Caenorhabditis elegans: one gene and its partner. The protein of the gene in region 2 interacts with the protein of the main gene of each other region in a pairwise test. Each region holds a gene or a part of one and is shown on either strand. Other genes may lie near its edges. The genes, in order: brc-2 and rpa-1.

What was found.
Region 1: the proteins of rpa-1 (region 2) and brc-2 interact in a two-hybrid assay, tested with the Caenorhabditis elegans proteins (one study listed by BioGRID).

The regions. Positions count from the first base shown.
Region 1 is NC_003281.10:6,899,827-6,904,970, reverse strand, and holds brc-2 (DNA repair protein brc-2), read left to right. Parts: upstream 1-1,864; 5' UTR 1,865-1,893; coding exon 1,894-1,916; intron 1,917-1,991; coding exon 1,992-2,142; intron 2,143-2,237; coding exon 2,238-2,341; intron 2,342-2,385; coding exon 2,386-2,525; intron 2,526-2,608; coding exon 2,609-2,782; intron 2,783-2,833; coding exon 2,834-2,956; intron 2,957-2,999; coding exon 3,000-3,084; intron 3,085-3,130; coding exon 3,131-3,227; intron 3,228-3,466; coding exon 3,467-3,594; intron 3,595-3,659; coding exon 3,660-3,777; intron 3,778-4,150; coding exon 4,151-4,192; 3' UTR 4,193-4,403; downstream 4,404-5,144. Other genes in the region: T07E3.3 (DSBA-like thioredoxin domain-containing protein), read right to left, coding at 1-98, 146-424, 469-593, 649-790, 1,008-1,076; T07E3.4 (F-box domain-containing protein), read right to left, coding at 4,567-4,793. UniProt on the Caenorhabditis elegans protein: Required for the homologous recombination repair of DNA double strand breaks, thereby playing a role in chromosome integrity. Acts by targeting rad-51 to sites of DNA damage and stabilizing rad-51-DNA filaments by blocking ATP hydrolysis catalyzed by rad-51.
Region 2 is NC_003280.10:7,662,654-7,667,796, reverse strand, and holds rpa-1 (putative replication factor A 73 kDa subunit), read right to left. Parts: upstream 3,216-5,143; 5' UTR 3,206-3,215; coding exon 3,122-3,205; intron 3,070-3,121; coding exon 3,016-3,069; intron 2,968-3,015; coding exon 2,886-2,967; intron 2,842-2,885; coding exon 2,736-2,841; intron 2,694-2,735; coding exon 2,449-2,693; intron 2,407-2,448; coding exon 2,105-2,406; intron 2,053-2,104; coding exon 1,957-2,052; intron 1,908-1,956; coding exon 1,023-1,907; intron 978-1,022; coding exon 864-977; 3' UTR 687-863; downstream 1-686. Other genes in the region: F18A1.7 (Chondroitin proteoglycan 4 domain-containing protein), read left to right, coding at 4,043-4,160, 4,208-4,510, 4,559-4,826, 4,877-4,988. UniProt on the Caenorhabditis elegans protein: As part of the heterotrimeric replication protein A complex (RPA/RP-A), binds and stabilizes single-stranded DNA intermediates, that form during DNA replication or upon DNA stress.

The DNA of each region.
Region 1 (5,144 bases), on a different chromosome or scaffold from region 2:
GAAATCATGATATTATCATCAAAAATATCATTGATTTTATCAACTTTTATAGTGTCTCCTTCATCAGTTAACAAGATTAATCCGGGTGCTTCAGTAAGCTGAAAAAGGAAATTCTTGATTTTATTTCTAGAAAATTAAAATTTACTTTGAAATCCACGGCTTCTTTGCAATTTTTGTGTAGTATCGATCGATTTTCTGGAGATGAGAGACGAGCCACAATGTCTTCTGCGATTTTGAATGAGATTCCAAGTTCACGGCATACTGTAGACATGTGACACCCGTAGTGAACTGGAAGTCGCTGCTCCCAGAGCCGTTTTCCCAAGTGATGAATTGCTTTTTCATAGAGGTCTGGGTATTGTTCACGGATTGAAGTGAGGAACAGCTGAGGGATGACCGATCCACGTGCTACCGCTGTTTTGTAGGTCTAAAAATATTTGTTTGAGAATAAATATTCGAAATCAATCTAACGTTTTTCCAATCTACAGGTGGCACGACACGCTCACAACCAATAAGTTTCTTGCCACGCTCGTCGATTTTTTGTAGAATTCCCATTTCTGAGAGTGTTTCTTCGCTTTCTGCTTGCTCTGGAACTTCTGAAATAACTTTCCCGCGATTATTTGGATTTCTATATATTTTCAAACTACTTACCTATTTTCGTTTTCCAAAGTCTCGAATTGTGTACTTGTCGACGTTGGTTCCAGATTTGAGCATTATGAAGAATTCCAATTTTAAAATCACAAACTGGCTCAAAATCTATACGCTCGAATAGAGAATTGTGTGATGTAAGAGCCTGAAAATTATATTTGATTTTCTTTCCATCTTTTTTTATTTTCGGGAATAATAAAACATTCAAAAAGGGCTGAGATCTATCTATTTTTCACATGCGACCCATTTCTATTTCACGTGAAGCACATGATTCTGAAGGGCAATGGAAATGAAAACCCGGAAAAACAAAATCTTTCAGTTTAAATTGTATCAAAACAAGTTTTTCTAGATTACAAATGTACCTGAATAGTGATCCATGAATTGGGACAGACCACATCGAAATAACATTTCACACGTGGCAATGGAGCCATTTTGAAGTTTGGCTGAAATTAAATTTATGTCGAGAAATTAAAAAAAATCAGAGCGTCATCATGAGAAAATAGGAAAGGTTTAGACTGTAAAATCAGGTTTTCATGGCGGGAATGACATTAAAATGGTGATAAGGTGATTATTTTATCAAAAGAATTTTTTGAATGATTGCACCTAAAATCGAGTGCTTTTTCTTTAATTTGATTATCAAAAGAAAATACCCAAGAAATGGAAAATGAAAATTTAAGAGATGAAAGGAAAAAGCGACCCGGAAAAACATCAAGCTGGGAAGAAATCTCAACTAGTTAGACCAAAGCTTCGAACTCTGCGAGCATGTATTTTTTTTCCTCACTTTCTCCTTTTCTTCTCTATTTCTCTAGATCTTTATTACTGCGGGGGCAAAAAGAGTAAGAGATAGAAAAGAATGACGCAAAAAATACACGGATTTAATATTTGCTTTGCTTTTTTATTCAGAGAGGAAAGGTCAATTGGGGGTTTCCCCTCGTTTTATGAATGAAAACCGCACATAAATATAATTATTTCCACAGTTTTAAACGGCAGAAACGGTTCGTGTTATAATTTGTGAGATAATTGATTTTGCATTACGAAATTAGAAGAAAAGGCGGAAATAAATAAATTAGTGTCGCAATTTTTTTCTCAAAAAGGAAATAATGCAATTACGCTCCACCGGACAGTAAAATTCTCAGTTTATTTGAAAAACAAAAATTTAATTTTTTCCCTTTTTTTCAATTGAAATCTCAAATTTCTGAACTCAAAATGAAATTTTCAGACTTTACCAGAATATTGTGACATCGACCGATGGGTGACTCATCTAAAAAAGTGTTAGTCAAGATTTATTTTATTGTTATAGCAAGAAAATTGAGAAACATACATGAATTGCAATTCTTTGTTTTCAGAAAAGACAGTTTCGACACAATATCTGAACCAGACAGCTTTGATGAGCCGAAAGGCGTACCGATATCAATGGAACCGGTTTTTTCAACAGCGGCTGGTATCCGAATTGATGTGAAGCAGGAATCGATTGATAAATCAAAGAAGATGTTGAATGTAAGCTTTGGAATTAAAAGGAAATAATGGAACATATTCTGAAATTAACTTCGACAACACATTTATTCTTCTAATATAAAAAATTTCAAATTCAGAGTGATCTCAAGAGCAAATCCTCGTCTAAAGGCGGATTTTCTTCCCCTCTCGTGCGCAAAAACAATGGGTCGAGCGCTTTCGTTTCACCGTTTCGAAGAGAAGGGTAAGTTTCAAAGGTGCTATCTAGCTCGAAGTTTTTCTTTTCAGAACGAGCTCAACAACTACAAAACGGCCGGCTAGCGGCGGTTTCGAAGATTTCGAAGCTCCACCAGCAAAAAAATCAACCAGCAGTTCTTCTAAAAAAAGTAAAAAACATTCGAAAAAAGAAAAGAAGAAGGAGTTTAAAGGTTAGTTAAGCTCTAGAATTGGCTCTCCTTTTTGAAAACTGTTCTTTATTCCGTAATTCTCGTAATCCGGAGTCTTTTTTCAGAAATCCACGCCGATGTTTTGCGTGTTTCTCGAATCTACGAAAAGGATAAATTCCGAATTATTCTTCAAGAATCCAGCTCAACTCCTCTAATCCTGGCCACTTGTAGCTACAATCGTGGCTCTGATATTAAATTTGGCGACAGAATTCATGTCGACGCGGAAGTCTGTAAAAAATGTAATGCTCAATCGATTGTAGCTATTGATTTAATTTTTCGTAAACTTTCAGCAAGCTCAGGCGATGTTACAGAAATCTATATTGATAGAGTTCTGAAAAATAAGGAAAATGGTGCGAAATCCGGTATCCGACGCCATTCAATTGCCAAGAAGCCGTTTTGCATCAAACCCAGATGTGAGCCATTTCGAGTTTTCACCTAAAAAAATTATTATTTCAGTTATCCACGAATTGTCAGACACGAAAATCAAAAAAACAGTTGTCCAAGTTAACTTACTCGATTTAAATTTGGATTTTTATGCAGGGTACATACTGATTCCTTGATAATTAATATAATAATATTGGTTTCAGATGTTCGAAATGCAAACACTCTCTCCCAGAAGCAGCGAATCAATGCGAGTTTTGTAAGGATTCCCAAGGAAAATCTGAATTGTCGATGTATTCTAGAGTATGTTCTTTATATTTATATTGCCTATTTCCTAATATAGAACATTTTTAATGTTTTGGATAAATAGCCTATTTTCAGCTAAAATCTCAAATTTTTCCGACTTGTCAGTGGTGCGGCGGTCGGAACTCACTTCTGCGAGTTGTGACATTGTCAAGTTGACAAAGTTTGAGATTTTAGCTGAATTTAGATAATTTTTTGAATTTTAGTTTTTGGGAAGTATCGTTACAAAAAAACTTCAGGTGCGAGTTATGGACTTCTCCGGTCAAATGTTTATCAATGTGACTACAAAAAATATGAAGAAATTACTCGATTTGTTAGGATATGAAGGATTTGACAATTGGTTCCGATTCAAAGACCCCCAGGAACGGTGAGATTTTTGCGGCGTTTTAACTTTCAATTTATAATTTTTTAAATTCCGTTGCATTTTTTCAGACAAAACTATGTGTTCCGCCCTGTTATGGTTGAAATCGAAAAATCGAATGATGAATGGGAATGCACTGACGTGGCAGAAGTCGACTGGAAAGATTTTGGCTCTTACTTGAAACATAAAGTATAATTTATTGATACCGAAAAATTACAGAGAACATTTTTTGTTTCACATATCATAATTTTAGAAGTCGGCCAGAATTTCAGACATTTTCTTCATTTTCTTATATCTCAATTGCGTTAAATTTTTTTCTCGAATCTGATAAATCAAAAAAATTCGCCAAAAATCCCTAAATCACCCAAAAATTTCACATTTTTGAAAAGGTTGCAATTTACAAAAAAAAACTTTGACTTGAAATTTGAGAAATCTAAGAATTTTGTAGTGTTTCATTATGATTATCGGTCACGTTAGAGTGATAAGTGTGCTAATTTTACAATTTTAATTAAGTCTCAAAATTATATCAGCTAAAATTTAATAAAATTCCATAATTTTTCAGGAAGACAAGAAGAAACGCCGTTCGAAAAAGAAGCATCCATAATATTCCATTCATGTGAATATTCATTTAATCATGTTTCATTTATTTTATCATTTTTTTGTTGTGTTTATTCGTTTTAACGTAGATGGTTCAAATGCTTTAATTTATTCTCAAAGAATATCCCCGTTCTAATTTTATATGTTCCCCTTCTGTTGTTTCCATGTTAAAGAATTATTATGAAACGATGAAATCTTCATCAGAAATTCGAAAATTTAGAAAAATAGAAACCCGAAACAAGAAAATATACAAGTACAAATACAAGTAGGCACACGTCATTTTGAAGTTGTGGTCTTATAAAGACAATTTCTAAAACCCAAAATGTTTGGGAAATCGAGAGATAAGGGGGGATCAATTGGAAAATAAATTCTATGAATTGATTAAAGTTGGAAGGAAGGTGGAACAGTCAGAAGATTGTTATTATTGCAATTTTGTTCGGAGATTTTCAGTTTTTCAGCCAATTCTTTGTCTTCAAGAGCTGCCAGAGCAATTGTAAATTCGCGTTTTGTATTTTCCTCCTGCACATTATACAATGTCAATGAGCCCGAGCCACGGCGATTTTTGCATCGAAGTCCACGTCGAAGGCATTCGGATTCAAATTGAGATCCTGGAATATATTATAGTTTATTGATTATGTATTAAAGCTGTGATTTTTGCTTCAAAATACGGTAACCGGCCTCGACACGACAATTTTGGTTGAATGCGACAGGTGTGTGCGCCTTTAAAGGAGTACTGTAATTTCAAATCGTTGTGACGATTCCGCAGAAATGAAAGCTTGACGATACAGTAGTCTTTATAGGCGCGCACCTTTTTGAAGATTCCAAAAATTTGCCGTGCCGAGACCTGGTACCGTATTCTTGGCAAAAAATCGGACAATTTCGCGTCTGGAATACGTTCTGACAAAAGTCGACCTGACTTTTCAAAAAATGTAGTTTGGTTTCAACAATTTTACTTTTAG
Region 2 (5,143 bases):
CAATTCGTGAACCTTTTTTTTTTGAAGATAACTAGAAAAGGTTGCGAATAAACGTATTAGGTGAAAAGAAACGGGATGAGCATATGGAGATGACCTTTATTGGGAATAGACACGGAGAACACCTTCTGTTGGGAACGCATTTGTGTGTGCTCTCCCAGACACTCCATAAGGTCAGCTGCATAACCCTAAATTGCATCGACAAATCTTAACAACTGCAACAGAAAAGCTACACTCAAAATATAAGACGGAAATTTTCTTTCAGCACGGCTTAGTTTGGACGAACAATTTGAAAGGAGTGTTCAAATTGCAACTGTTTGGAAACATAATAAAATCATTACGGAATTTATTTTTTTGGAAAATCAAAACAGGTGATAAAAGACGTTTCTGTAAATGAAAGTCACTAGTCTTTTCCACTAATCCGCCAATGTCTTTCATGGAAAATAAGACAAAAAAAAAGACAGCGTTAGAGAGAAATAGACGAAGAGAGCTCAAAGAGCTCGCTGGCTGCCCACGAACCTGCGGGTTAGCAATGGAAAATGTGGTCGTGGGCAGAGAGACGTAGGATAAATGTGGCAACCCAAGGCCATTTGTTGTCGGGCAGTCACCCGCTCTCAAGGACGCTGCAACGACCCAATGCTGTCACTTCAGAACACATCTCGAGGTCACCTGGCACTCAAAGATAGGCTCACATCGTATAGTTTATTCGCTAGTAAATGAGATGAAAAACATTGTACAAAATCAGCGATTGTGGATGTGAGACATGTGATAACTTTAGGCTCAAAAAAGGTTTTAATAATATTTAGGTTTTTTTAGATTTAAATGAAACAGTCGAGATCGGCACGATGTAATAAAAAACAGAACATTTAGTAGTCACTCATTTGTTGCATCTGCTCGATCATTTGCTTCAGATTTTCGATGTACTTGTCCTGATTGACATCATCCACACCATAGACAGTCATCTTCTGACGAACTTCTTCCTATAAAGAAAACAATCATAACGGATCTTCAAGAAATAAAGCTACATTGTACGAATCCATCTTGCAACGAAGTCTCCACATCTTTGGAACAAACTGAAGGCGTTCGAAAATAGCGTTGTACTCATCTGGGCTTTCATCGTGCAATTCTCCAAGCTCCGCAGCTGATTTTCCAACAATCTTCGCAGCACTATCTCCGAAAGCTGTGACATAGACCTGTCCGGTTTCGTCCGAAAGTTCAAACTGCATCATGTACAGCCACTTGAACTTGTTCATGTTCTTATTGCACTTTTCGCATCTGTAGTCACCATTTTCTCCCACAAGTTTCTTTTGGCAACCCTCTGAAGCGCATCCTCTATAAAGAGCATTCGTAGGATTTACTCTGGTAATCATTGCTTTGACAGTTGCGTAATCTCCCTTGTCGGAATCCTTTCCAAATTGCATTTCTTGGAGTCCTGCAATAGTACGTGGAGCTTCATTGGATCCTCCAGCAGCTTGGCTCATCATCTTAACTTCAGTGGTTGGTTTCACGTTTGCGTACCAATCATAGAGTTCAGACACTCCAGCGATTTCTGGCACCGAAATAATACGAGTTGCTGACCCAGTTCCCAAAGAGAATCCTCCATTAAACTCTCTTGGAATAACACCTTTGAATGCGATTACTTTTTGAACATAGTCATCAACAAGTGCTTTTGTTGCTTCGTCTCCCCAAAGTGTCAATCGAACAAGTGCTCCAGACTCGTCAATCAACTCCATTTCTCGCTTGATCAGAGATTTTCCAGCCTTTGAAGTGAATTCGGTAGCCTCTGGATCCATCTTTTCAACCACGACGAGAACGTCAATCAGTTGTCCAGCATATCCAGCGATTTCACCTAGCTTCACTCGTTTGAGTATGAGCTTTGGAGCAGCAAGCAATTCACCTCCAGCTTCAATCTGAAAATTTAATATTTTAGCTATGATGAATCGCTTTAAATTTACTAACGATAGAATCGCTGCGAAGTGTGATCTCGTAGTCGTGTCCAGTATTGTTGAACTTCTTATTTGCTTGTTTGACTGATCCACCAGACAAATAATAAGACTGAAAATATTAAATTAATTATTATGCATAATCCGATTAAAATAATACTAACAAGATTCTCGGTGATTGTGGTGTACAAGGACTCAGCAACCTCGTTGAATGCGGTACATCTGATTGTATCTCCGTTTGAATCGGTTATTTCAAAGTTGAACACTTTCGTGTTTTTCGCTGGGAAAGTACGAATTTCCTCCTTGCGTGATACCATTCCGTGAATTTTGAAATTCGATACGTACGGTGTAACCATTGCAATAGGCATCACGCCTCTTTCTGTGTTCGACGCGGTACGGCGTGCTGGTGGTGGAACAGCTCGAGCGCGTGTAGCCTCTGGAGCAGCGGCACGATTGTATGAGGCTTCTGAAAACTCGAATTACACACATTACAACTCTTAGATTTTACCTTCTCCGAATTCTCTTTTCGGCGCTTTTGCTGCTGGTGGATTTGCCATATTCTCCTGGTAATCAGCAGCCATTCCTTCAGCTTCAGGCCAAACATCTTCGATGATAATATTTGGTCTATAGCCTTTGTGCTCATCAGGTTTGCCAGAATGAGATCTTGGCTTGACTTCTGGAGAGGTCAAAACCTGATGATAGCGAGAAAGAATTTTGTATCCTTTGATCAGGAAGCAATTCTTAGCACCTTCTCTGAAAAATACATTGAAGGACTCAATAATGTTATAATCTCACCCTTGGTCGTAGATTTCAAATTTAGTAAGAGCGATAATTGTTCCCTCAACAAGATGCTCAACTTCACGTTTGATTTGGTCATCGATATCAGCGGACATGAGCGCATCTTCAAAGCATAAATAAATATCAGAGTATAACAAACTCACTTACTGTATTGGAAAACACCGTCTGAGATACGAATTCTGAAAGTGAATGCGTGACCAAGTTGCTCTCCTTGCTCTACTTTGCCTTTCTGAAAATTATCGAATTATTGCGAAACTTTTGAATTAGTCAAAAGTACCAAAACTTGAACGATTCCATCATGTCCAGGATATCCATTGTTTTCGATAGCCTCCTGAAAATTCATCAAAATTAAATTTCCTGGTTTTCTACATTGATTTCTTTACCTGAACATAGCCTGTTGTAAGTCGAAGTTTCCCGTTAGTATGATACTTATTGAAGACATCGTGATTGATGTGAATTGCCGCCATCTTTCACTATCTGAAACAGATACATAAAAATTGGGGAAAAAAGCTTGAAACATGAAGAAACAAATGAAGGGGAGACGATTCAATTTTGAATTCTCTACAGGCCGGATACGCGCCAAAAAAAATGGCGTAGAATGTGATGTTTGCGGGAAATGTGTGCCGAAAAGCGGGAATTTCTGTTAGTCAAAGAAAATCGAGCACAACTTGAATTAAAATATGAGAAAACAAATAAATATTAAAAAAAGGAATTGAGAAGTTTTAAAGATTACAATAATAATTGTTGAAATTTTGATGAAGGTTTTACATCGGCCAAAATCGCATGAATCGAAATTATGGCAGCGCAATATTGGAAGAGGGTTAAAATACTGAACAAAAACATTCTAAAAGTCAATACTTCGTCCAAACATGAAGATTTTCTGCAGGTTCTCAACAAAGCAATTCACATTTGAAAAAGAAAAAAATGAATGGCTCGGACCACCTGCGTAAATCTTGCCGGGTACGGTATTCGCTTCGAGACCTCCATCAAAACCGTAGTTTGGAAATTGTTTTTTCCCGCCGATCTAACTTTTCTATTGACGCGCTAAATTTTGAAATCAGAAAAGTCGCATAAAGAATTCGGATTTTGTTTTATTTTCATTTGTCAGTTTTGATAAATTTTCATTTTATAAATTATGTAAAGTTTCGGCTATATCAGTTACCCACTTCATTTCTACCTAGCTGTTCTTTTCCTTATATGACCTTCTTGAAAGCTTATAAAAGTTTTCGAAAGCTTTTAGACCACTTTCAAACTGCTTAATATCTAACCCCCATTTCGGAAAAAAAACTTCTACATAATTCCAGATGCGCCATCTCCATCTCGCCTTCTTCCTTCCCGCCATCTTTCTGTTCTTCTCGTGTGTAAATGGTGCCATCGAATCGGTACACGACGACAAAGATGTCGTGCCACACGAAGAACAAGGTAAAAAACTAGATTATTGTGTGCTTAAGATTAAAGTTTCACTTCAGCCCTCGACGTCGACACAATTTTCCGCGCTCTTGGAGTTCCATATTGCATGCGAAAGTGCATCGACCCGTTCATCAATTCTACGACGTCTCTGTGGAACATGAAGAATGTTGTACATCAAGCTCGCAAAGTCTGTGGTCATCATGCACAGGCTATCACTTGTCTGAAGAAAGAACAGTACTGTGATCACAACAAGCTCTTCGCAAAAGCCAGCAGCAGTGTTGAATATATGTGTGCCACAAAGCACGTTCTGTTTGAGCGAATGGAGTCGTGTCTCAACCCTGTCGTTGATGATATCATGTCAGGTAATTTTTTTTCTGAAAAATTGCCCACCATCAAAAAATCGTTTTCAGGCTGCGACAAAGAATGCTATGCTCGTTCAAACCTAACTGCTTTCGCTCAAGATTCTAACATTAAATTCGCTGCTACAGTTGGAGGTAATGTATTTATTGTTGCTGATCATCTTGGAGAACTTTGTAACTCTCTGCAATGTACTCTCCCATGTGTCACCAAGCGACTCAACAGCAAGTGTGCCTTGAGTGGATGGCTTAGTCTGGACATGCTTATGCAACCATTCGATGCCGTTTCTGTAATGGTTGATCAATTGTCACCAGCATTGAGGTTAGTTAGTGCGATCATTATTAAATATGCTATGTAACTAAACATTTCAGGGATGTCATCAGTAAGAAAATCGATAAAAGATGCCGTTTTGCAATTAACCCAACTCGTCTCAACCGCATTCGCAACGGCGATTTCAAGGCTTTTAACATGGATAACATTTGATCGCATCTCATTTCATGATTCCAGTACTCACTAAAACCCACGAATTGTAAATAATCACCCGACACAAATATGTTGATATATCGAATAAATAGTTGTAAACTGTAAACCGCTTTCAATAATCATTTTCTCAAACGCGGATGAAAGCCGAAAAAAAT